3 linked regions of the Pelodiscus sinensis genome follow. The protein of the gene in region 2 purifies or fractionates together with the protein of the main gene of each other region. This does not show direct contact. Links are inferred from orthologs where the notes say so. Each region holds a gene or a part of one and is shown on either strand. Other genes may lie near its edges.

Region 1 (6,924 bases), on a different chromosome or scaffold from region 2:
AGGTCTTGATGTCCCTCTCAACTCTCTTTAACAATGGCATGTGTATCAGAGGCAGCAGCGTGGGGGGGCAGCCAGCTCCCTGGTCGCAGGGCAGTAGCCTGCGTGTAACCGTTCACGGTAACCGATAAGCCCAGACTTATCAGTTAATTGTGTAAACAATTATCCTATTATATCCCAAGTTCAGATTTATGCAAACGTCCGGCTGGAGCTTGGAAGTCACGTTCTGGGGTCTCCGGACCTCAGTCTGAGCAACTCCCCAATCAGCAGAGCCAAATGACCATACACCGTAGACTACAGACACTGTACAAGAAGGAAGTTAAATGCAGAGACAAGGAAGCAGAGAGCAGCCCTTACCCTGTGAAAAAGTCAGATGCTCTGAGTTTTAGCAGAGCAGGGCTAGGCCCGGGCAGCCCAGGAGGGAGGAAAGACGCTCTGAAGTCTCCACTTGTCAGCCACACCCACTCTTTTCCAGGGGAGCTTCCCCCCCTGCCCTAGAGCACAACCCAGAGGAGTCCAGTCAGGCATTACCACTGACTCATCATGTGGGTTCCATAAGCAAAGGTCTCGCTAAGCTCCATGATGGAGAAGAGTCGTCCCATGATTGGTGGGTGGGGGAGGAGGGCTAAGTCTTAGTCTGCATGACAATTCCCCCGGCCCGTGTGCAACCCAAACTCTGAACCCTTGTGCTGGTTCAGGGTCCCCAAAAGAGGGACCGGCCAGCTGCATGCCAAACTAATCTCCAGATAGCTGCAGTTAAATCTGTACCTGAGGCCCAGCAAGCTCTGTCTGATGTAACAACTCCACTTTCAATAACAAGGTGCATGTGTTGGGGGGGGAGGGTGTTAACCAGTTAGTGCCCCTTGGGGTTGCTCTGCTCATACCTACACAGCTGCATCGCACTCTGACCTTTGTTCAGGCTGGGGGGCTGTGGTGGCTGCTATGGGTCGGCTGAGGATGGAGGCCCAGGAGGGTGCTGCAGAGATCCTGAGGGGGATGAGTGGGTCTTGGAGGCCATTTACTCCCCCAGCTGAGTGCAGGTGGGGGGGGACGGGGCATGGGTTGAGGCCCAGAGGGAGTTGGATGGGCACCAAGGGCCCGGTCTGCTCCCAGCCAGGGGCACAGTGGGGGGGCCAAGGCATGGGGGCAGTATGGAGGCCAGGGGGCTGTGGGGAGGGCAAAGGGGCCACAGCGCTGTGGGGGGCAGGGACAGGAGGACACGGGGGGAGCTGGGGGGGCACTATGGGGCTGGACGCGAAGGGAGTTGGGAGGCGCTATGGGACCGGGGGCGTTGGGGGGCCGGATACAGGGGTGTGCTGGGGGGGCGCCATGGGGGCGGGGGGCGCTATGGGGTCAGGGGCGTTGGAGGGCCGGATACAGGGGATGCTGGGGGGCACTATGGGGGTGGGGGCGTTGGAGGGCCAGACACAGGGGGTGCTGGGGGGGCGCTATGGGGCCGGGGGCGTTGGAGGGCCGGATACAGGGGGTGCTGCGGGGGCGCTATGGGGCCGGGGGCGTTGGAGGGCCGGATACAGGGAGTGCTGGGGGGGAACTATGGGGCGGGACGCTGGGGGGGCGCTATGGGCGGGGGGCGCTATGGGGCCGGGGGCGTTGGAGGGCCGGATACAGGGGGTGCTGGGGGGGCGCTATGGGGCCGGGTGCTGGGGGGGCGCTATGGGGCCGGGGGCGTTGGAGGGCCGGATACAGGGGGTGCTGGGGGGGCGCTATGGGGCCGGATGCTGGGGGGGCGCTATGGGGCCGGGGGCATTGGAGGGCCGGATACAGGGGGTGCTGGGGGGGCGCTATGGGGGCGCTATGGGGCCGGTGGCGTTGGAGGGCCGGACACAGGGGTTGCTGGGGGGGCGCTATGGGGCCGGACGCTGGGGGGGCGCTATGGGGGCGGGGGCGTTGGAGGGCCGGACACAGGGGGCGCTGGGGGGGCGCTATGGGGCCGGACGCTGGGGGGGCGCTATGGGGGCGGGGGCGTTGGAGGGCCGGACACAGGGGGTGCTGGGGGGGCGCTATGGGGCCGGACGCTGGGGGGGCGCTATGGGGGCGGGGGCGTTGGAGGGCCGGACACAGGGGGTGCTGGGGGGGGGCGCTATGGGGCCGGACGCTGGGGGGGCGCTATGGGCGGGGGGCGTTGGAGGGCCGGACACAGGGAGTGCTGGGGGGGCGCTATGGGCGGGGGGCGTTGGAGGGCCGGACACAGGGGGTGCTGGGGGGGCGCTATGGGGCCGGACGCTGGGGGGGCGCTATGGGCGGGGGCGTTGGAGGGCCGGACACAGGGGGTGCTGGGGGGGCGCTATGGGGCCGGACGCTGGGGGGGCGCTATGGGCGGGGGGCGTTGGAGGGCCGGACACAGGGGGTGCTGGGGGGGCGCTATGGGGCCGGACGCTGGGGGGGCGCTATGGGGGCGGGGGCGTTGGAGGGCCGGACACAGGGGGTGCTGGGGGGGCGCTATGGGCGGGGGCGTTGGAGGGCCGGACACAGGGGGTGCTGGGGGGGCGCTATGGGGCCGGACGCTGGGGGGGCGCTATGGGGGCGGGGGCGTTGGAGGGCCGGACACAGGGGGTGCTGGGGGGGCGCTATGGGGCCGGACGCTGGGAGGGCGCTATGGGGCCGGGGGCGTTGGGGGGCCGGACACTGGGGGGGCGCTATGGGGCCGGGGGCGTTGGAGGGCCGGACACTGGGGGGGCGCTATGGGGCCGGGGGCGTTGGAGGGCCGGACACAGGGGGTGCTGGGGGGGCGCTATGGGGCGGGGGGCGCTATGGGGCCGGGCCGCCCTTACCGGACTTGGGCGGGTAGCGGTAGGCCGAGTTGGCCTGGATGTCGATGTCCTCCACGCCCGCGATGCGCCGGCTCAGCAGGGAGCCCATGGCGGGACCGCCCAGCCCGGGACCCGGCAGCGGCGGCGGCGAGCAGCGAGCGACCCGGACCCAGCGACTCGCAAACACAACCCGCCGCGGGGCAGCTTGGGAAAGCGAGTCCGGCCGCCTACAACTCCCAAGAGCCACGCGCCGGGTCCTACACACCGACGGCTCGGCCGGGCCGTACCAACCGCGTGCGCGGGCCTGTACCCCCTCACTCAGTGGACTCTTCCGGGAGTGCGCTGTGGGGGGGTGGGGCTGTAACGCGCGCAGCCGCCAGCAGAGGGCGCCGACCAGCCTCCTGCCGAGCCAATGAGGGCTCTCTGAGTGTGGCCAGAGCATCCCCCCCCCCAGTGATGAGGGATTCCCTTAGCATGGCCAGGTCACCCCCGCCCCGCATGGTGGGGCAGCGTGGCAGGAGTCCCTCCCCCCGCGCAGGCTGGGGCAGCAGAGACAGGCCTAGCAGCTAGGGTGAGGGATGGGTCCCTGCACTGCGCTTTGCCTGCATCCGGGGCCCAGGCCCTCAGTGCACATCCAGGCATGCCTCTGGGAGGAATGGGTAACAGGCAGATCAGGGCATGTCCTGGCTGGGCGATGGCTCGGGCTGGGAGGCCTTCAGGACAGTTGTCACTAGAGCAGGTGAAGCCCTGGCAGATGTGCAGGTGGCAATGGAAGGAGGAGGCTGAAGGGCGATCCCAGCTCTGCTGCGGACAGGCCATGGCTGTTGCTGCTTCTCTGTGGTGTGGCCTGCGGAGGCGATTGGTTTCACTCTGTGAACAGCAGGTGATGCTCCACCATGGTCCAGGCAGTTGATTGGGGTGCTGTGGGTAGCTCGGATCCTGGTAGGCCCTGCCTTGGATCCTGCTGGGGCACCTAATCTCCAGAGAGCCCGGCTGTGACTTGAATACAATGCTCCAGGTTCATGCTAACTACAAAAAAAAATACCACCTCAGGAACAGGCAGGTCATGTGACTTTTACTGCCTCATACAAGGTTCTCAGGGCTGCACATCCGCCCAGGGTGGGTCCTGATGGTGGACTTTGATCTGCGGTTTGTTACATGGAGGAAACCTGTCCAAGCAGCCTCTGCCTGGGGAGAACTTTGACTCACAACACCCTTCTGCGGGCCTGATCCTGCAAAGGGCTGAGTGCCCTCCGCTCCTGTAGTCATGGGAAGAGGAGCAAGCTCAGCATCTAACAGGATCTGGCTCTGTGTGAAGGCAGCATCAGCAGGATGTATGAGAAAGTCATGAGTCTCTCTCACCTCCCAAACAGATGTGTTTCAATACATTAAATTGGGATGTGTTATCCAAGCTGCAGCTAACCTTCAAAGAAACCAGAGATTCCCCAGTTCAGAATTCTCATCAGCCTGCCAGGCGGCCCAGCTGGGTTCAGTCCATAGAGCTCCATTGAAGTCAATGAGCTACAGTGATTTATCCCAGCACAAGAGATGACCCTCCATAGAAAGGGGTCCAGACCAGAGTTCCCTGTAAGCTGTGTGCTCAGGCGGCCACCCAGGAGGCCGTCCAGCTGATTAGCAGAGCACCCACAGCCGGCAGGATGTTTCTACTGTTGGTGCACATCTGCACATGCCTCAGTGCACATAACAACATTAATTCCACACACAGATAGAAAAAAATTGAGGAAACATTGGTCCAGACTTAAGGCATGGAAGGACTGGCCTGTGAAGAAAGGCTGAAGTTTGGGATTGTTCTCTTAGAATGGAGACAGAGGAAGAGAAGGGACAAACTATATCAAATACCAACAGCTCTGGAGATTTAGCAGCAGGAATCTCTGGTCTCCCTGCCTCATAACATAGGAACAGGGGCACAGCTGATCAGATGAAAAGCTGGCAAATTCACAAGAAAAGCATATCATTAGACTGTGGAACTTATTGCCACTGGAAGTCGAGGACGCCAAGTGTCAAAGAGGGACTGGACATTTATATGAATAACGAAACTATCCAGAATTGTCATTGTAAATACTATTGCCATTTTGAAAAAAACAAGGAGAGAGAACTAAGCCAATCTCTAGTGGGAACTGGGAAGGGATTTCCTGGGACAGATGATCCTACATCTGCTTCCTGATCTAGTGGGTTTCATGCACCTTCCTTGGAAGCATCCAGTGCTGGTCACTGTCAGAGATAGGCAATGGGGCCAAATGGACCTTGGTCTGATACAGTCCGACAATTCCAGTGTCCAGTGCAAATGGCGAGGCCATTGATGTGCTGAGACCCTGCCCTTCTTGCTGATTGGCATTGCCCCACTGTATCCTGGTGCTTCCCCCTTTGTCTTCCCCTCCTGTTGTCTCTTGCCTTATACCTAGATTGTGAGCTTTGTGGGGCAGGGACAATCTCTGCTCTATGTGGAGCCCTGGTCTGTGTCTGGGGCTTGTAAGAACTACCATAATACACCTAATAATGTACAGCACCGAGCACAATTGGGTCCTGGACCATGACTGGGGGTTGGTGTTTACATTCTACCATAATTCACCTAATAGAAATGTAGTAAAAGTTCCTCCTTTTATAGCCAGGAAGCCCAAATGTCTGGTGCAAAGGCTGAATGAGAACAAGCGCGGATGCCCCTGGCCGAGGATGGGCAGGCAATTGCCAACAAATATCCATTACGGTGAGTTGTAGAATGGCTCTCCCCAGCTTTGTTCATACAGGCAGTGGCCGGCCAGCCAGCCTGTCTGGCTCCTTGAAGACTCGCGCTGCAGAGCGTCCAAGGCCCCCGCCCCCTCCGCTTCGTTTTGGCCGCTGGAAAGCCCCTGGAAAGCTGGGTTTGTTTGGCACATAAGGTGACAGCTCCCAGGGCTCTGTGTCCATGTTGCTTTGCTTGGCCCAGGGAATGATTAACCTGTTCGTTTGTTTTGTGGCAAACAAACAGGAGTACCCCCCCTCCCCCGTTTAATTGGTTAGCCAATTAAACGGGATTTTACATCCCTATCTAGGACACCACTGCTGTGCCACCTGCTTCCATGGCACATCCCAGGAAGGGATCCTGGGTCAGGGCTGCAGAGCCTGCAGTGGCCCAGCGAATTAAAGGCAGGGGTTGGCCCTGATGCAGAGAGAGCTGTTTCTCAGCTTCAGGGCCTGGCTCAGGGGGTGTCGCTGTGGATTCCTCAATATTACAGTGAATGGTACATTTCTCCAGGGTCTTTCACCCAGCAGGATCCAATATGTTTCACAAACCAGACACAAGAACCCTTTTGCTCAAATGCAGCCACCTCTAGGGTAGAATGTGCCAGCCGCTGCTCACTTGCACAGCAGACTCTGCAAAGACGCTGCGTTAGGAACTGAGCAGAATGGTATGTACTCCTGGGTGTCTGTTTTAAACCTGCTGCTTACTCATTCCATTGGGTGACCACCGTTTCTTGTGTTATCCAAAGGGGTGAATAACTCTTCCCCGTTCATTCTCTCCACGCCAGTCATGATTTCATAGCCTCCTGAGTTGTCTCTTTTCTAAGAGGGACAGATGAGGGAGGCAAAGGGACACAGGGACAAAACTGGGGCCAGCAGAGTTAAGGACAGACGTTTTTTGTAAGTGTAAATAGGAACAAAAAGGGTCCTCACAATAGTGTTGCTCCATTGCTAGGTGGAGATGGAGAATTACGAATAATGTACTATAGACTTGAGAGAGCTTGTCTGTCTGTCTATTTGTTAAAGGATTCCTCCTAAACGGTAAGAGCTAGGACCACCAAATTCGGTTTGCAGTTTCCTCTTATCATAACTTAAAGCAACATATGGGTTTGGTTGTGCCAGGAAATAGGATATGCCTGGAATGGGATTGCTTCTCATAGGACTATACAGAAAAGAGACCAAATTACCAGGCTAGAAATCCCTTTAGTCATTAGCCTGGGACCTGGCTGGGACCAGCACTTCCCCCAGTTCAGTGTTTGTTCCACAGGGGTTTCCAGGTTGCGGAGACTGCCATAATGTGCCTCTGTCCTGCCCACACTCCATCCCTTCCCCTAAGCCCCTGGCCTTGCTTTGCCTCACTCCATCTCTTCCTGGCCCTCCACACCCCAATTCACCCCTTCTCCCAAGAACCCTGTTT
Region 2 (7,824 bases):
AAAATGCCTTGAGAGGCAATTCATACCAACATGAGAAAGAGTGGTTAGAAAATGTACACAAAATAAAGAATCACAGCACTTACAGCTACTGTGATCACAAAGTCACATTGCATTGGAAGCAGCTTAGTTCTATTCTGGCAGTTCTATACCATTGAAGGAAAAAGCCTTACAGCAGGAGTATTCATTGGTGGGTGGGGCTGCCCTTTATGTTGCTCTGTCAATGTGAAAGGATTGCTGAATACAGCAGAATTTAGCTCACCAAATTTAGAAGTGAAAGTCTCATTCAGTCATCTGGTCATTCCTCTGCCACTGCAGGACCATTCCGTACTTATGTATGAGATTATCAGATTAATAACATTTACAATAACTAGCTTGTAGAGCTAATACAATTTAGACTAGTACAAATATTAAAAATCTAACATTAGTATTGTTAGTTTTCTCCCCCCGACACGCCATTCTCTTGAAGTCACAAAACTTGCATCCAGTCAATTTCACCTTTTGATGCTTACACATTAGCATGATTCCATATTAGTGTTGCAAACACTGCATTACTTTCATAGCATATTAAAAATACAGAACATACGGCCTGATAATAAAACTTATTGGTTTGTATTTAAAAACGAAACAAATCTGAACATGGAACTAAAATTGTCTTAGGTTTGGTCTACATCACAGACTCGTGTCAGTATAACTACATCACTGGAGGATGTGCAAAATCCACACTCTTAGAGCCCTGCAAATTTGCAGATATCCGCTTTGTATCAGCAGATACCTGCAGATACAGATATCTGTGTACCATGTTGATGGATAACGGATAGATGTGGATTCCATTTTTATATCTAGAGCCCTGCAAATCTATGGACAGCCACTTCATATCTGCATCCGTGAATGCGGATATCAACAGACCGGCTACGTCTACACTGGTCCCTTTTCCGAAAGGGGCATGCTAATTTTCAACTTCAGAATAGGGAAATCCGCGGGGGATTTAAATATCCCCCGCGGGATTTAAATAAAGATGTCCGCCGCTTTTTTCCGGCTTGGGGAAAAGCCGGAAAAAAGCGTCTAGACTGGCCCGATCCTCCGGAATAAAGCCCTATTCCGGAGGATCTCTTATTCCTACTTCAAAGGGCTTATCAGTTAATTCTAATGACTACATGCACATACACACCCTTGCTGCCTCTGTGTCGGGAAGAGGGGGAATACAGGTGTTGGTGCCCATAGGGAGCTGGCTCCTTATGCACTCTGGTTCCCATGGAGCTGCCTACCCTCTCCCACAGAGGCAGTAGCATGGGGAGCAGGTGGGAATTCCCCATGAGTACCAGATCCCATGGCGCTACCTGTCCCACCACTGACGCCTCTGATAGAGAGGCAGCAGCATGGAGGGTGAGAAGGCAGGTGGGAGCTGGTACACATGGGAGCTGTTTTCTCCCTATTGCTGCCTCCCACAGAGGCAGGGGGGAGAAGCAAGAGCTGATACGCATGAGGAGCCAGCTTTTCAGCCAGCTCTCCATACGTGACCCCCCACGGATCTGTCTGCTTCTGCTTTGCTACCTGCCAGCGGCAGCAAGGAGAGGAAGGGAGGGAGAGAGAGAGAGAGAGAGTGCGTGCGTACGCACAGGTTGGCAGGCAAGAGCTGGTGCTCAGGGAAGTATCTTTTAAAATGAGATCTACCATTTCTCTTCAAAAACTATTTCAGTCTAACAGATCACCTCACTGTTGTTAGTAAGTTGTTCCTGATGAACCACATTTTCTTAATTCTACCCTAATGTCATTAGTTATATTTTTGGTGGAACAAAAAGAAAATTCATCTGTCTCCTTACAATTTACACACTTAATTTTCTTGTACATGTTTACATCTTTCACACTCATTTGGGTATTTAAATTGAGCTGTGCATATTTATAGATTTGCTCATTTTGCTTTGTAAGTCAAAGGTTAACCGTCAGAGAATTTTTTTCTTCACTCATTTTCCTTCTACAGATTGAACCTCTCTAGTCCTTTATACTCTGGTCTGGCAACATCTGTGGTCCAGCATGATTTTAGTTACCCATGATAAGTGAACATCTGGCTGTGGCCAAGTTTCCCACAGTCCCCAAAAGTTTGTTTACAGTCACGAGTCCTGGCTCTTAGTGTTCTGTGCTGTTATTTACCTCTAAATGTATTCTAAGAGCCCAGTAAGCAGTAGAAGGGTTGGTAATGCTGCTAGACAATACTGACCTCCTGTGGGTCAGCAAATTCTCTGGTTCAGCACTGGTCAGGTCCTGAGGTTGCTGGACAAAAGAGGTTCAACCTGTATTACTTCTAGCTTTTCCCCCCTTCATTTTAAAGGTCTCTCTACTCCTGCCGCTTTCATAGTGACACTTCAAATATTTGTAGACAGTTACATCACCCAAGCTATGCACAGTTTGTATTTTAGTCTTCTCACATCCTGACAGTTTTGTGGCTAGGCTCAAATTTGTCAGGGATGTTCCTGACGCGAAGGTACTAAAATTCAGTCAGTTATGCCCCAGTGTAGGCATCAACTCTGCTACCACATCACAGTGGGAACCTACCTAGCCGCCTAGGCAGCATCACAGCTGTTTTTCAACACGTGCATCTGCATAACGCCTTGGGCTCTTCCCCTGTACCTGTAGCGAGGCCTACGCCGAGTACAGGTCTTGGCCCAGGGTGGGTCCGGGGACACACACAAGCCATCACTTGGTCAGGCTTGAGCCCCAAGGCGATTACCTGCGAAAGGGGCAGGCACGTTTCTGGCCGGCATCGCCCGTAACTGCCCCGGCCTGGACGGGAATGGCCGGCTCAGAACACCGCTCGGCGGGCCCGTGCGGCGCCCCGGGCTGGGCAGGGGGTGGCAGCTCCGCAGCAGCGAGCGGCGCCGGGGTCTCCGCCCGGACGGTGGGTGGCGACCGGCTGCCCCCAGATAAGTGCGGGCTCCTAGGCCGCCCCCGCCCCGGCAGCCCCGCGTCCCCAAGCGGCCGGGCGCTCAGAAAGGAGCAGGCCCCGCGCCGGGTCCCCTCCCGCAGGCCTTGCCTGGCTCCCGCCGCCGTCCCGGTACCTGCCTCAGCGCCGCGCGGCCTGTTCCTTGGGGCGCTCGCAGCGGGGCCGGGCTTGAGGCCGCGCCACCTGCTGGCGGGAGGCCGCCTGCTCAGCTCCCTGGGCCGCAGTGCGAGGGGCCTCGGCCCGGCGCTGGCCCTGGGGGGAGGCTGCTGGGCCCCGTGCACAGGGGCGGGTGCTGCCCCCCTGCCCCGACGGGGTTTCCGCGAGAGACGGGCTCACGGGTTGGGTCAGTGGCTCTCAGCGTTCCTGCCCCGGCCCACCAACCCCAGCGCAGCAAAGCCGGGCAGCAGGGGTGGGGTTGGTAGGTGCCAGGCTCTGGGCCAGAATAACCCGTGGAAAAGGGATCCCGGTGCCTCTGGTCAGCATCACTGACTGGGCGGTAAAAGTCTGCTCCGCGCTGCGGCCGGGCTAGGGCAGGCAGCTCCCACAAGCCACTGGCACGTCCCTCTGCCTCACAGGCAGACACGCCACAAGTACTCTGCTGCCAGGAGCCACCTGAGGCAAGCACTGCCTGGACCCTGCACCCCCAATCCCCTCCTCGACCCCACTCACTTGCCCCAAGCCCCTGCCCCACCCCGGAGCCCCTCCAAACCCGTATCCCAGAGCCTGCACCCTCTCCTGCACCTCAAGCCCTTACCTCAGCCCAGAGTCCCTCCACACCTAACCTCTCTGCCAAACTAGTGATATGAATGACTAGTCAACCATCTGATAAGCAAATGCTTATTACTCCCTCCACTTTGCTGCCCCTCCCCTTTGCTGCCTCTATCAGAAAGAGGCATCAAGGGGGGATGAAAGAACAGGGTACAGTACTTGAAAGTGGCAGTTCCGCATGGAGCTTTGGGTCAGGCTCTTCCCAGCTTTTCGAAGAGGCAGCTGAGTCCCCAGCTCACCCCCCGGCTCTACTCACTGCTGCCATCTTGAAACACTGGGAGAAGCCTGATACCAGGCTCTCTCCACAGCATCTCAAAGCTGCAGCGCTGCATGGAGCCTGGGGCCAGCGGGGGAGTTCTCAGCTGATCCTGGGCTCCACACTGCGTTGCCACTTTGAAACGCCATGTGAGCCTGACACTGGGCTCCTGCAGCGTTTCAAAGTGGCAGCACTTCATAGAATCATAGAATAATAGGACTGGAAGGGACCTCGAGAGGTCATCGAGTCCAGCCCCCCGCCCTCAAGGCAGGACCAAGCTCCGTCTACACCATCCCTGACAGATGTCTATCTAACCTGTTCTTAAATATCTCCAGAGAGGGAGATTCCACCACCTCCCTTGGCAATTTATTCCAATATTTGACCATCCTGACAGTTAGGAATTTTTTCCTAATGTCCAATCTAAACCTCCCCTGCTGCACTTTAAGCCCATTACTCCTTGTCCTGTCCTCAGTAACCAAGGAACTTCACGGAGCCCAGGGTCAGCACTTCACGGAGCCCTAGGGCTGTTGCTACACTTCAAGGGCAGAGATGCCCTATTGACTAGTAAGCAAAATGCATTGACTATTCGATGAGTTTGTTGCCTGCAATTTAACATCCCTACTCAGAACCCACACCCCTCAGTCCCAGCCCACACCCTGCATAGCTCATCTCTATCCTTATCCCTATCTATCCCAGAGACTGCATCTTTAGGAAGAGCCCACAACCCCCTCCACAACACAACAGCCTGTCCCAGCCTGGAGCCCATCCACAGCCTGAACCCCTCCTTTCTGACCACACCCCAGAACCCACACCCACAGCCCAGAGACTTGATCCCCTCCCATATTCTCTCTCTTTGCCCCAGTCCAGAGTACCTGCCATATTCTGAACCCCTCATTTCTGGCCCACACCTCCAGCCCAGAGCCCATATTTCCCGGATCTCCCTATACCCCTGCCCTAGTCTGCAGCCTCCTCTCACTCTCCAAACCTTCATTTCTGCCCCCAGCCTGGAACCCATGCACATCCCGCTTCCTCTTCCCCCCACTAGGGGCACAGGCAGCTTCTGTGGGCCCCTGGGCAAAGTGTGTGTAGGGAAGGGCTCTGCACTCCCAGAAGGGGTGGAAATTCGGGCAGTTAGGAAGGAGCCAGGGCAGCCACCCCTGCATGCCACCCAGAGAGCACTGCACCCCTCCCAGCCCTCAAAGCTACGTGGAGCACACGGTGCAGCACTCTAATGCAATTTAAAGGATCCAGGGCTCCAGATGCCACCACTGCTGAAGTAGCAGTGGTGGTGGCTGGGAGCCCTGAGGCCTAGCGATTCAGAGGCCTGAGGCAACTTCCCCCTTTGCCCTCCTTCCTATGCCCACTGGCAGGCCTAACCCCTGCCCAGCCTAGTGAAAATTATCATGTGAACAAGGGTAGGGGACACTGAATGATGGAGGGGGGGGGAAAGAGTGATTGTTGGGGGAGGCCTCAAAGAAAGGGTGGGGTAGAAACAGGGCTGCAAGAAGGGGCAGGTAAAGGCAGGGCAATGGTATTCAGTTTTCTGCATTTGGAAAGCTGGCAACCATAGGTGGGGAGTAGGCACCACTCAGGGCTGGGATCAGGGTTGGGGAGGGGGCTAACATGCCTCTTCATTCGCCTTACTCCAATTCACAGCTAGCTCAGGTAGTGTTCTCTGGGCTGCTGCAATCACACTTCCTGTCTGCCTTGTCCATGTACAACTACAGAGCTTCTTGCGCCAGAAATATGTAAATGAAGCTAAGCGTGAAAGATCGCTGAGCCTCATTTGCATAGCTGAACTGCCATTTTTACAGAAGAGGCTCTTGTGCCAGAAGGAGCTGTCTACACTGCCCCTTCTTGCACAAGAAAAACCCTCTTGCGCAATGCTGTTATTCCTAAAAATAATTGGTGTAAAAGCATTGCACAAGAGGGGTTTTCTTGTGCAAGGGGCAGTGTAGACCACTCCTGTGCAAGAGCCTCTTCTGCAAAAATGGAAGCTCATTAAGCATGCAAATGAGGCTCACCATATTCCACACTTAGCCTCATTTGCATATTTCTGGTGCAAGAAGCCACGAGTGTAGACATAGCCCAGAGGTCCAGGTACCAAAAGGAGTCCTGCCTTAAAATACAGGTTCGACCTCCCTAGTCTGGCTCACTCAGGCCCAGAGTGGTTTCAAACCAGGGAGTTTGCCTAACCAGATACAGAGGCAGCAGGGAAATACAAGTAGCTGACAGATTAATGGATAAACCTAGGCTTATCAGTTAATAATTTGGGGTACGTCTAGACTACATGCCTCTGGCAACAGAGGCATATAGATTAGACTACCTGGCATAGGAAAATTAAGCGGCGATTTAAATAATCCCAGGAGGCATACCTGGGAGGTCGACAAATGCCTTTGATGTCGACCACGGAATGTCCAGACTACCGCGCTGAGCCGACAAACAGCTGATCGGCTCAGCGCGGCAGCCATTTAAATTTAAATGAAGTGGTGATTATTTAAATCGCCACTTCATTTTCCTATGCCGGGTAGTCTAATCTACATGACTCTGTCGCCAGAGGCATGTAGTCTAGACGTACCCCTAGTTTATTACTCGTTGACATCACTAATTAACACAAGGTGAAACATGTTTCACCAATATGCTAAAGAGTGACATTGGGACTGTTTAGGGCTGCTGCCAAAGCTACAAACTAGTTTTATAAAAATGTCCATAGTGGATCAGATCAAAGTTCTATCTAGCCCCCTGTCTTCCAACAGTAGCCAGTTCCAGGTGTTTCAGAGGGAATAAACAGAACAGGCAATCATTAAGTGATCCCAGCATTATGCCTGCTTTAATAGTGCCTTATAATTCTTTGTTTTGGGGCCTTAATATACCATAAGATAGTGAGAAATTTGTTGTGTTCTGGTAATTCTCACTTTCCACTCATATTTTTAACAAGACTTTGTATACTTTTATTTTTAAAATAACGATTTTAAGAATGTAATTTTCAGTCATTTAAAAAGTTACTCAGGCCACTTGAAAAAAAAAATGGTGCTGGCAAAGGTGCTACACAGACTGCCCCAAAACTGCAAGTCTTCACTATGTACAGAACAAAGAGGCAGCACAAGGTTCTCACACTCTAAGGCAGTGGTTCCCAAACTTTTCTGCATCACGCCTCCTTTTTGATTTTTGAGAAACCCTCATGCTCCCCCCCCCAAAAAAGCAGCAAAACTTGGGGTGAGATTGACGGAGGGGGCTGGGTCACCTCATGCCCCCCCTGGAATTTCTTCATGCCCCCCCTAGGGGGCACACTCCCCAGTTTGGGAACCCAGGCTCTAAGGCACACACAGTCTATCACTGATACGTTTCATGCATAAGAATAATTGACAGTGACCTTACTGTTTGATTAACCTCCCCCCCTCATCCCCGCTCTGTTCTGAAATTTGATTTGTCCTTTTTATGTGTTCATTTTTTTGACTGTATCCTTTTGGCATATATGGGCATGCCAATTTTCTTCCACAATTTGATCTGAGGAAGTGAGTCTGGCCCACGAAAGCTCATCATCTAATACATGTATTTAGTCTGATCTTCATTTTGTTTTGTATTATTTTTTTCACATTACATTTTTATTCTCTTCACAAAACTCTGACCATACAATGGAGTAACAATTTGTTCACACCATTTCTGTCACAGACCTAGTGGAGTCTTTTGCATTCTTTTTATAGTCAGCTTTCGCTCAATAAAAGTATGCACCTACAGGTTAGGCTGGTCTCCAAATGCTTTGGGTGAGTAGTAAGAGCAAGTTGTGACTCTTTTGAAATGCTTTCCTCTACAAAGTATACTGGTTAAAGCATATCCAGTCCTAACACACTTCTAAATGTTT
Region 3 (7,700 bases), on a different chromosome or scaffold from region 2:
GCAACAGCATACAATTGCATACTCAAAGCATTTGACTTTTGTATGTTAGCACATGACTAGAATCATACAACCAATTGTTCATCTGCTTGCACAAATACCTTACTTGCATTCAATTCACATTTTGAAAGGATAAGATCAGTAATGAAGGTATTGGTGATCAAAACCAGCAACTGCCTCTGTAAGTTCAGTTTCAGTGGCTCTCTTGGGATAGACATATTAGAACTAAAGACCAATGAATTATAAAATGTGTATATCAAGGAATGTCACTACATGGCCAGAAATCCAGCAGTTGACAAAAGCTTCAGTGGCACAACAGCATTGCCAATAATGGATATACACTTAATATCAAGGCAGATCATCTGAAGGAACTAGCGAGAGATCGATCCAGGGGATGCTTGATCTGCAGTTACATTCTTATGGATTTGCTGTGATTGTGATCAATGTTCTGAAAAAACTTAAAAAACAAATAATCTAGTAGCACTTTAAAGACTAACAAAACATGTAGATGGTATCATGAACTTTCGTGGGCACAACCCACTTCTTCAGATCGCCGTAGTGTTGAAGTCCAGATCCAAGAAACCAGTATTTTGGAAGTCCACACATTAAGAACATTTGTATGAAAAACATTAATGTCTATAAGAAGTTTAGTAGGTTCATGAAGCACAATTTTTACAAGGGTGTCATCCTAGGCTACACAAGCATAATGGATTCATGGCTAGATACACATTAATTGTGAGCATCAAGATAAGAACAAAATTACTCATCTGTGTTAATCATTAAATTCAAATACACAGGAGACTCTGCATCCAATGGTCTCGTTAAAATGAAACAACCGAGTGATACCCTAAAACTAGTTACACAAAAAACTGGCCTAACATCAAATGATTTCAGGATGAAACTGAACCATCAGCCAGAGGGTGCAAACAATATCAAGTTCATGCTGACCCAATACAACTTTAAGTACCAAACTACTGATTTCAAGAGCTGGCATGGGGCAGAATTATGTTCCCCAAAAATACTTGACAACCAGCACATCAAGCATAATGAAGACCCAGCCAGGTGGGCCGTCTATAGAACACTCAACACAATTCATCTACGGTACCTGGAATTCCTTCACATACATATCCAGTTGCGTTCAGTCCAACATAGCTGCCTCAAATAATTGACTTCCAAACAGACAAAAAATTAGCCTCACCTAAAGGCATGGGCACCAGATTTATATAATTTTTCATAGTACCCAGAACAGGTTCAAGCACAGCCATATCATCCATTGGACACATTGAGGCAACCCCCTGGACTCTGTCATCTGGGGGGGCCCTGTGCTTCAAAGGTATGTGGAGTCCAGGATGACCTCAGGTTTAGTGGGGGGACCTGGTACTGGCTACAACAAGTGACTCTGCCCCAGCGTGCTCTGCTCCGCCCCGCCAGCTCCTCTTGTCATTCCAGGAAGGGCAGAAACCAGAAAAAGGTGGGGGCTTGAGAGAAGGGGTGGAATGGTGACATAAAGAGGTAGGGTGGGTGTAGAGAAGAGGTAGGAAAAAAGCAGGGTAGGGCAGGCTCTTGAGGGATGGGTAGGAGAGGGATGGGATGGGATGGGATGGGATGGGGCCAGGTATCTTGCTGCTGCTAATTCCAGCCCCCTGCTAGTTCCTCAAGCCACCCATGACCCCACTTGCCCCTGAAGCACTGGGGTCCCCAAAGCACAGGACCCAGTCCATCATCCATCCTTTGGAAAGGGCATCTCTGAAACCATAAGCCCCTATATGGGTGAAGCTGGACCCACATTCCTGAATATTGACTCGCTTGGGATAGACATATTAGAACTGAAGACGAATGAATTATAAAATGTATGCGTCAAGGAATACCACTACTCTTGAGATAGACAAAGTTTTAGTGGCTCTCTTGGGATAGACATATCAGAACTGAAGACCCATGAATTATAAAACATGTGCATCAAGGAACGCCACTACATGGCCAGAAATCCAGCGGTTGCCAAAAGCTTCAGAATCATACAACCAATTGTTCATCTGCTTGCACAAATACCTTAGTTGCATTCAATTCACGTTTTGAAAGGATAAGATCAGTAACGAAGGTATTGGTCATCAAAAACCATCAACTGCCGCTCTAAGTTGAGTTTCAGTGGCTCTCTTGGGATAGACATACTAGAACTGAAGACCCAATGAATTATAAAATGTGTAGATCAAGGAATGTCACTACAGGGCCAGAAATCCAGCAGGTTGCCAACAGCTTCAGTGGCACAACAGCATTGCCAAGAATGGATATACACTTAATATCCAGGCAGATCATCTGAAGGAACTAGCGAGCGATGGATCCAGGGGATGCTTGTTCTGCAGTGACACCCGCACGGATGCGCTAGGACTGTGAGCAAGGTTCTGGAAAAACAACTTAAGACCCCCCCACCCCCCGAAAAAAAAAAGTCTGGGAGCCCTTTAAAGTCTGACCAAGCCGGCGGACGGCATGGCGAGCTCTCTCGGGGGGGCTGCCCCTCGCCACCTGCCCCCCCCCCCCGGCACGCCATCCCGAATACGCGTGCGCACCCAGGGGCTTTGCACCCCACTTCGCCTCCCCGCCAGAGGGGCACAGGAGCCGCCCCGCCCCTCTCCTCACGCGCCCCACGGGGGCCGGGCCCCTCCCCCCCCGGCGTGAGGCGGCCTCGCGGGCGCCCCCTCACCTGAAGCGGCCCCCGCAGTGCTGGCACTGGTCGCCCACCCAGCCGGCCTGGCACTCGCACTGCCCGCTGCCCGGCTGGCAGCGCCCGCCATTGGCGCACGGCTTGTCGCACTCCTTCGCCTCGCCCGCCGCGCCGGGCCCCGCCGCCAGCAGCAGCAGCGCCAGCAGCAGCAGCAGCGCCGGCCCGCCCCGGCCGCGGCTCCGGCTCCGCTCCATCGGCCGCCGGACTCGGCTCTGGCGTCGGGCTCCTGCTCGCGCGGCGCCTCCTCCTCCCCGGGCCGGACGGTGGCCGGCGAGGGAAAGCTGCGCGCGGCCCGCGACGGTGGCCGAGGAGGAAGGGGACGTCGCCGCCGCCGCCGCCGCTCGCGCTCCCCCAGCGGCAGGGCCGGGGCCGCGGGGAGATGACGTCACCGCCCGCGCGACGGCCTCGCGGGGACCGGTCGCGTCCCGCCCCCCCGCGCACGAGATACGGGGGGCGCCGTTTTCCTTCCCCTCCCCCCTCCCTCCGGTGTTCAGCACCCGGGGGGGGGGGGGCGTGGCCGTGGCTCGGGCTCCACCGACCCGCCTGCTGCCTCCTGTCCCACAGAGGCAGCAGCATGGGGACTGGAGCAGCCTCTGTCCCAGGGGAGCTCGCCCCCCCTCCCCCCCCCCCATAGGCTTGCCAGATGCTTTCACCAAAATTCCCAAACATGATTGAGGGAAGAAGAAAAAAAGGCGGGGACCAAAGTTGTTGAGAAAAAAAAAAAAAAGGTCACTGTGCCTTTAAATGACCTCACGCCCCCTCCCCCCCCACCACATGCAGCAGGGGAAAACTGTCCCCCCCCCCAGGCTTCCATCCTGAGGGAAACAAGAAATACCATCGAATTTATGCCATCGTGTGCCGAAAGTGTCCGTCCGCTAGGTACGTTGGACAAACGTCTCAGACACGTCGCCAAAGGATCAATGCCCACGAAACAGATATCAGACAGGATCCCAAAGAAAAAAGAGTTTCTTGCCATTTCAGCCAGAAAGGACATTGTCTCAACGACTTGATTACCTGCATCCTGCTTCAAAGACCTTTTAAGACGTCACTTCAAAGAGAATCCTCTGAACTGTCATTCATGCTTAAATTCGACACTTTACGCCTAAGTTTAAACAAAGACACTAATTATCTTACCCATTACAAAGATAGCTTCCCCAATTATCACCTCTAATATCATTAGGTCACAGACATTTACGTTCCCCCCTTTTCCCCCCCTTCCATCCCCCTTCTGTTCTGAAATTTGATTTGTCCTTTTCATATGTGTTCGCTTTTTTTTAATTGTATCCTTTGGTATATATGGTTGTGACAATTTTCTTCCACTATTTGATCTGAGGAAGTGGGTCTGGCCCACGAAAGCTCATCACCTATTAAACCATCTTGTTAGTCTTTAAAGTGCTACACAGTCCTGTTTTTGGTTTCAAGAAATACCAGACATTTCAGGTAATTTCTGGAGGGTTTTACTAGCCAGGGGAGCCAAATACCGAACAGTCTGGGCAAAACCCAGACACCTGGCAACCATAGCTGGTTTTTAAACTGGCTCCTCTCATGGACCAGCTCCCACCTGCCACCCCAGGATGTTGCCTCTAATACAGCAGCAAGGGGGCGCCTGGGAAGTGAGGCCAGAGTGCACTGGCTTTTGGCCCCACCCCCGGAGACAGTCGAATAGTCGTGTAACTGATAAGATCCCATGCACTTACATGACTATTTAATTACACTATATCTAACATCCCTAGTACACACTAGAGATGTAAGTGAGTAGTGTAGGCTTATTGGGTATTGGTGTCACTACTCAACTAGTTGCTTCTCCCGCCCCTTGCTACCTCTATCAGAGGCAGCAAGAGAGCAGGAGCCAGTGCTGCGGGGAGCCAGCTTTTAAAGCCGGATCCTCCAAGTACCGTATCCATGGGGGCGGGGGCAAGGAAGGCAGAGGCACATCGGGAGACTAGGCGTGAGATGGGACTACTTCAGTCCCCGCTGGCACTGGTTCCCACTGCTGACGCGTCTGCTTTTCAAAAACAGTCTAGTGCAAGCTGGGAGAAATGGGTGTCCACAAAAGAAAGTCCTGACTCAGTGATGAGACGAGATGAAGCCTGCAACAGCAGAAAAATATTATTAAATTCTGTTGCAATATTCATAGAGGCCAAGGCCTAAGCTGACCACTGTGATCATACAGTCTTATCATGACCTGTATAACACAGACCATAGAACTTCCCCAAAATAATTCCTAGTGTAGATCTGCTAGGAAAAACTAACTAATTTCATTTAAAAATTACCATCGATGGAAAATCCATTATGACCTTTAGTAAATTGCTTCAGTGGTTAGTTACTTTCACTGGTAAAACTTTGGATCCCATTCTAGTTTGTCTGCTTTACCTTCTAGCCACTGGATCATGTTACACATCTTTCCTAGATGGAAATACCCATTTTAAAATATTTTTTCTGTGCAAACATATATACACTTTAATCAACCCTTAACCTTCTGTTACTTAAGCTAAATCAGGCATGTCCAAAGTCCGGCCCGCGGGCCAATTGCGGCCCGTGTTCCAGTTTAATACGGCCCCACAGGTAATTTGGCAATATCTATCTTTTATGGCCCCCAATGAATCCATATGTATTGAGATGAATACATTGTAAAATCTCAGTTAATGTCAGTTGGTCTAAATCAGTTATAAATATATTTGGACACAACATATATACTTGGTGTTATGTTCCTGTTCATATTTTTTTAACTTAAAAGTTGACAGACAACCTTTCATATATATTTCAGCTTCCTGGATTTTTTTTTCATCTGGCCTTCAGATATGAAAGGCAGAGTGATTTAACACCTGTTTAGATTTGTCATCCATGTGACGAAATGAAAAGTATGCCGTTTGCAATAAACTTTGCATAAAATAGTTAATTTGCATTTAATTTTAATGGTTCAAAGAATGTCAGGCAAAATGGTCGGCCCTCACGCATGTTCACTTCATCAAATCTGGCCCTCTTTGAAAAATGTTTGGACACCCCTGAGCTAAATAGATTGTCATACCTATCACTTAAGGCATGCTTTCTATTCCTTTAACCAGTCCAGTGGCTGTCCTCTGACACTTCTTCAGTTTCACAATGTATTGTCTAAAGACCTCAATCATAATAAGCACTGTACAAAATGACAGACATGCCAAGCGCCACAGAGCTCACAATCTAGGATTCAGAGAAACAACAACAGGTGAATGAAGAGTTAACAGAAGGAAAAAGAAAGACAAGAAAACAGAAAAATGTCAGTATTTGCATTGATAGTCACAGCGCTCCCACTAAGGACTAAAGGACATAGAAGAATGTTTGTTTAAACAGAAACACTCACATTTCATACCTGATTTACTACAGTATAGACAAAAAGTTTACAATATCACAATGATCAATAGTCACAGAGAGGTAGGCGTGTTAGTCTGCATCTGCAAAAATAATGCAGAGTTCTGTGACATCATGTCTACACTCGCTGCTTCTTGCGCGAGTAATATGCAAATGAGGCTAAGCATGGACTATCGCCAAGCCTCATTTGCATACCTAATAAGCCACCATTTTTTTTCAGAAGAGGCTCTTGAGCAAGGAGGAGCATCTACACTGCCTCTTCTTGCGAAAGAAAAACCCTCTTGCGCAATGCCGTTACACCTATTACTTTTCAAGTTACTTTTCATGTGCGCGAGAGGCACATGGTGGAGGGGAGGAGATGGGGAAGCTGCAGGTGGAGGAGCAGTGGACCGCATGCAGACCACCACTTGCCAAACACTGGTGTAGAGACTGGTCCAGAAGAGCAAAATTGTGAGAAAGCAAAGTGAGCAATACTTCTCAGCATTATCATCATACCCTTGAATGACCTGAGGTATTGGAGTGAGGCAACAAATACTTTTCTGAACAGACTAATAAGAATGATGAGTAGTCCTGTGGCATCGTAGGGTATGTCTACACTGCCACCCTAGTTCAAACTAGAGTGGCTAATATAGTCATTTGAACTTGCAAATGAAGCTTTATTTGCATGTTCGAATGACATTAGCCACCCTAGTTTGAACCAGGGTGGCAGTGTAGACATACCCTTAGAGACTAACGAATATATATATATGGTATCATGAGCTTTTGTGGGCAAAACCCACTTCTTAGAATGAAATTTTTTTTTTCTCCACTCAAGATCATCTCATCTGAAGAAGTGGGTTTTGCCCATGAAAGCTCATGATATCATACATACATACATATATATATATAGGGCTCACCAAGTGTCAGCGAGCCCTGCTCACCAGCCGCACGGTTCTGCGCTCTGCGCATGCGCACATTGCTCTGTGCCAGCTCTTCCGGGTTGTAATCTGTAATCATGTGCTGATCGCGCTGCGGTGCCGTGCTGAGCTAAAATCTACTCACCACGGGCAAGTAGATTACATTATTTGTCGAGCCCTGTATATATATATACACACACACACACACACACACACACACACACAGGGCTCAACAATTAGGGCAATCTACTCACCCGTGGTGAGTAGATTTTAGCTCAGCACGGCACCGCAGCGCGATCAGCACATGCGCAGTGTGCCGAACCGTGCGGATGGCGAGCAGGGCTCTCCGCTGCTTGTCAAGCCCTGTATGTGTGTGTGTGTGTGTGTGTGTGTGTGTGTGTATATATATTTGTTAGTCTCTAAGTTGTCACAGGACTACTCATTTATGAAGTTACAGGCTAACATGGCTAAACCTCTGAGACTAGTAGGAATAAGGTTGTTGTTTACTATGGGAAGAATCATAGAATCATAGAATACTAGAACTGGAATGGACTTTGAGAGGTCATCAAGTCCAGTCCCCTGCCCTCAAGGCAGGACCAAGCACCATCTAGACTACCCCTGATAGATGTCTGTCCAACCTGCTCTTCAATACTTCCAGTGATTGAAATTCCACTACCTCCCTAGGCAATTTAGTGCTTACCCACTCTGACAGGTAGTAGGTTTTTCCTAATGTCCAACTGAAA

What was found.
Region 1: the proteins of ANKRD46 (region 2) and MGRN1 purify together in Homo sapiens (co-immunoprecipitation; 3 studies listed by BioGRID and IntAct, counting the BioPlex papers as one, with this or other methods). This does not show direct contact. The link is inferred for Pelodiscus sinensis from reciprocal best matches to the Homo sapiens genes ANKRD46 and MGRN1.
Region 3: the proteins of ANKRD46 (region 2) and ATRN purify together in Homo sapiens (co-immunoprecipitation; 3 studies listed by BioGRID and IntAct, with this or other methods). This does not show direct contact. The link is inferred for Pelodiscus sinensis from reciprocal best matches to the Homo sapiens genes ANKRD46 and ATRN.

The regions. Positions count from the first base shown.
Region 1 is NC_134726.1:3,946,506-3,953,429, reverse strand, and holds the start of MGRN1 (E3 ubiquitin-protein ligase MGRN1), read right to left. Parts: upstream 3,001-6,924; 5' UTR 2,878-3,000; coding exon 2,790-2,877; intron 1-2,789. UniProt on the Homo sapiens protein: E3 ubiquitin-protein ligase. Mediates monoubiquitination at multiple sites of TSG101 in the presence of UBE2D1, but not of UBE2G1, nor UBE2H. Plays a role in the regulation of endosome-to-lysosome trafficking.
Region 2 is NC_134712.1:35,518,553-35,526,376, reverse strand, and holds the start of ANKRD46 (ankyrin repeat domain-containing protein 46), read right to left. Parts: upstream 3,023-7,824; 5' UTR 2,760-3,022; coding exon 2,726-2,759; intron 2,708-2,725; exon of another isoform or gene 2,570-2,707; coding exon of another isoform or gene 2,551-2,569; intron 2,455-2,550; exon of another isoform or gene 2,216-2,454; intron 1-2,215.
Region 3 is NC_134715.1:129,961,123-129,968,822, reverse strand, and holds the start of ATRN (attractin), read right to left. Parts: upstream 3,077-7,700; 5' UTR 2,908-3,076; coding exon 2,693-2,907; intron 1-2,692. UniProt on the Homo sapiens protein: Involved in the initial immune cell clustering during inflammatory response and may regulate chemotactic activity of chemokines. May play a role in melanocortin signaling pathways that regulate energy homeostasis and hair color.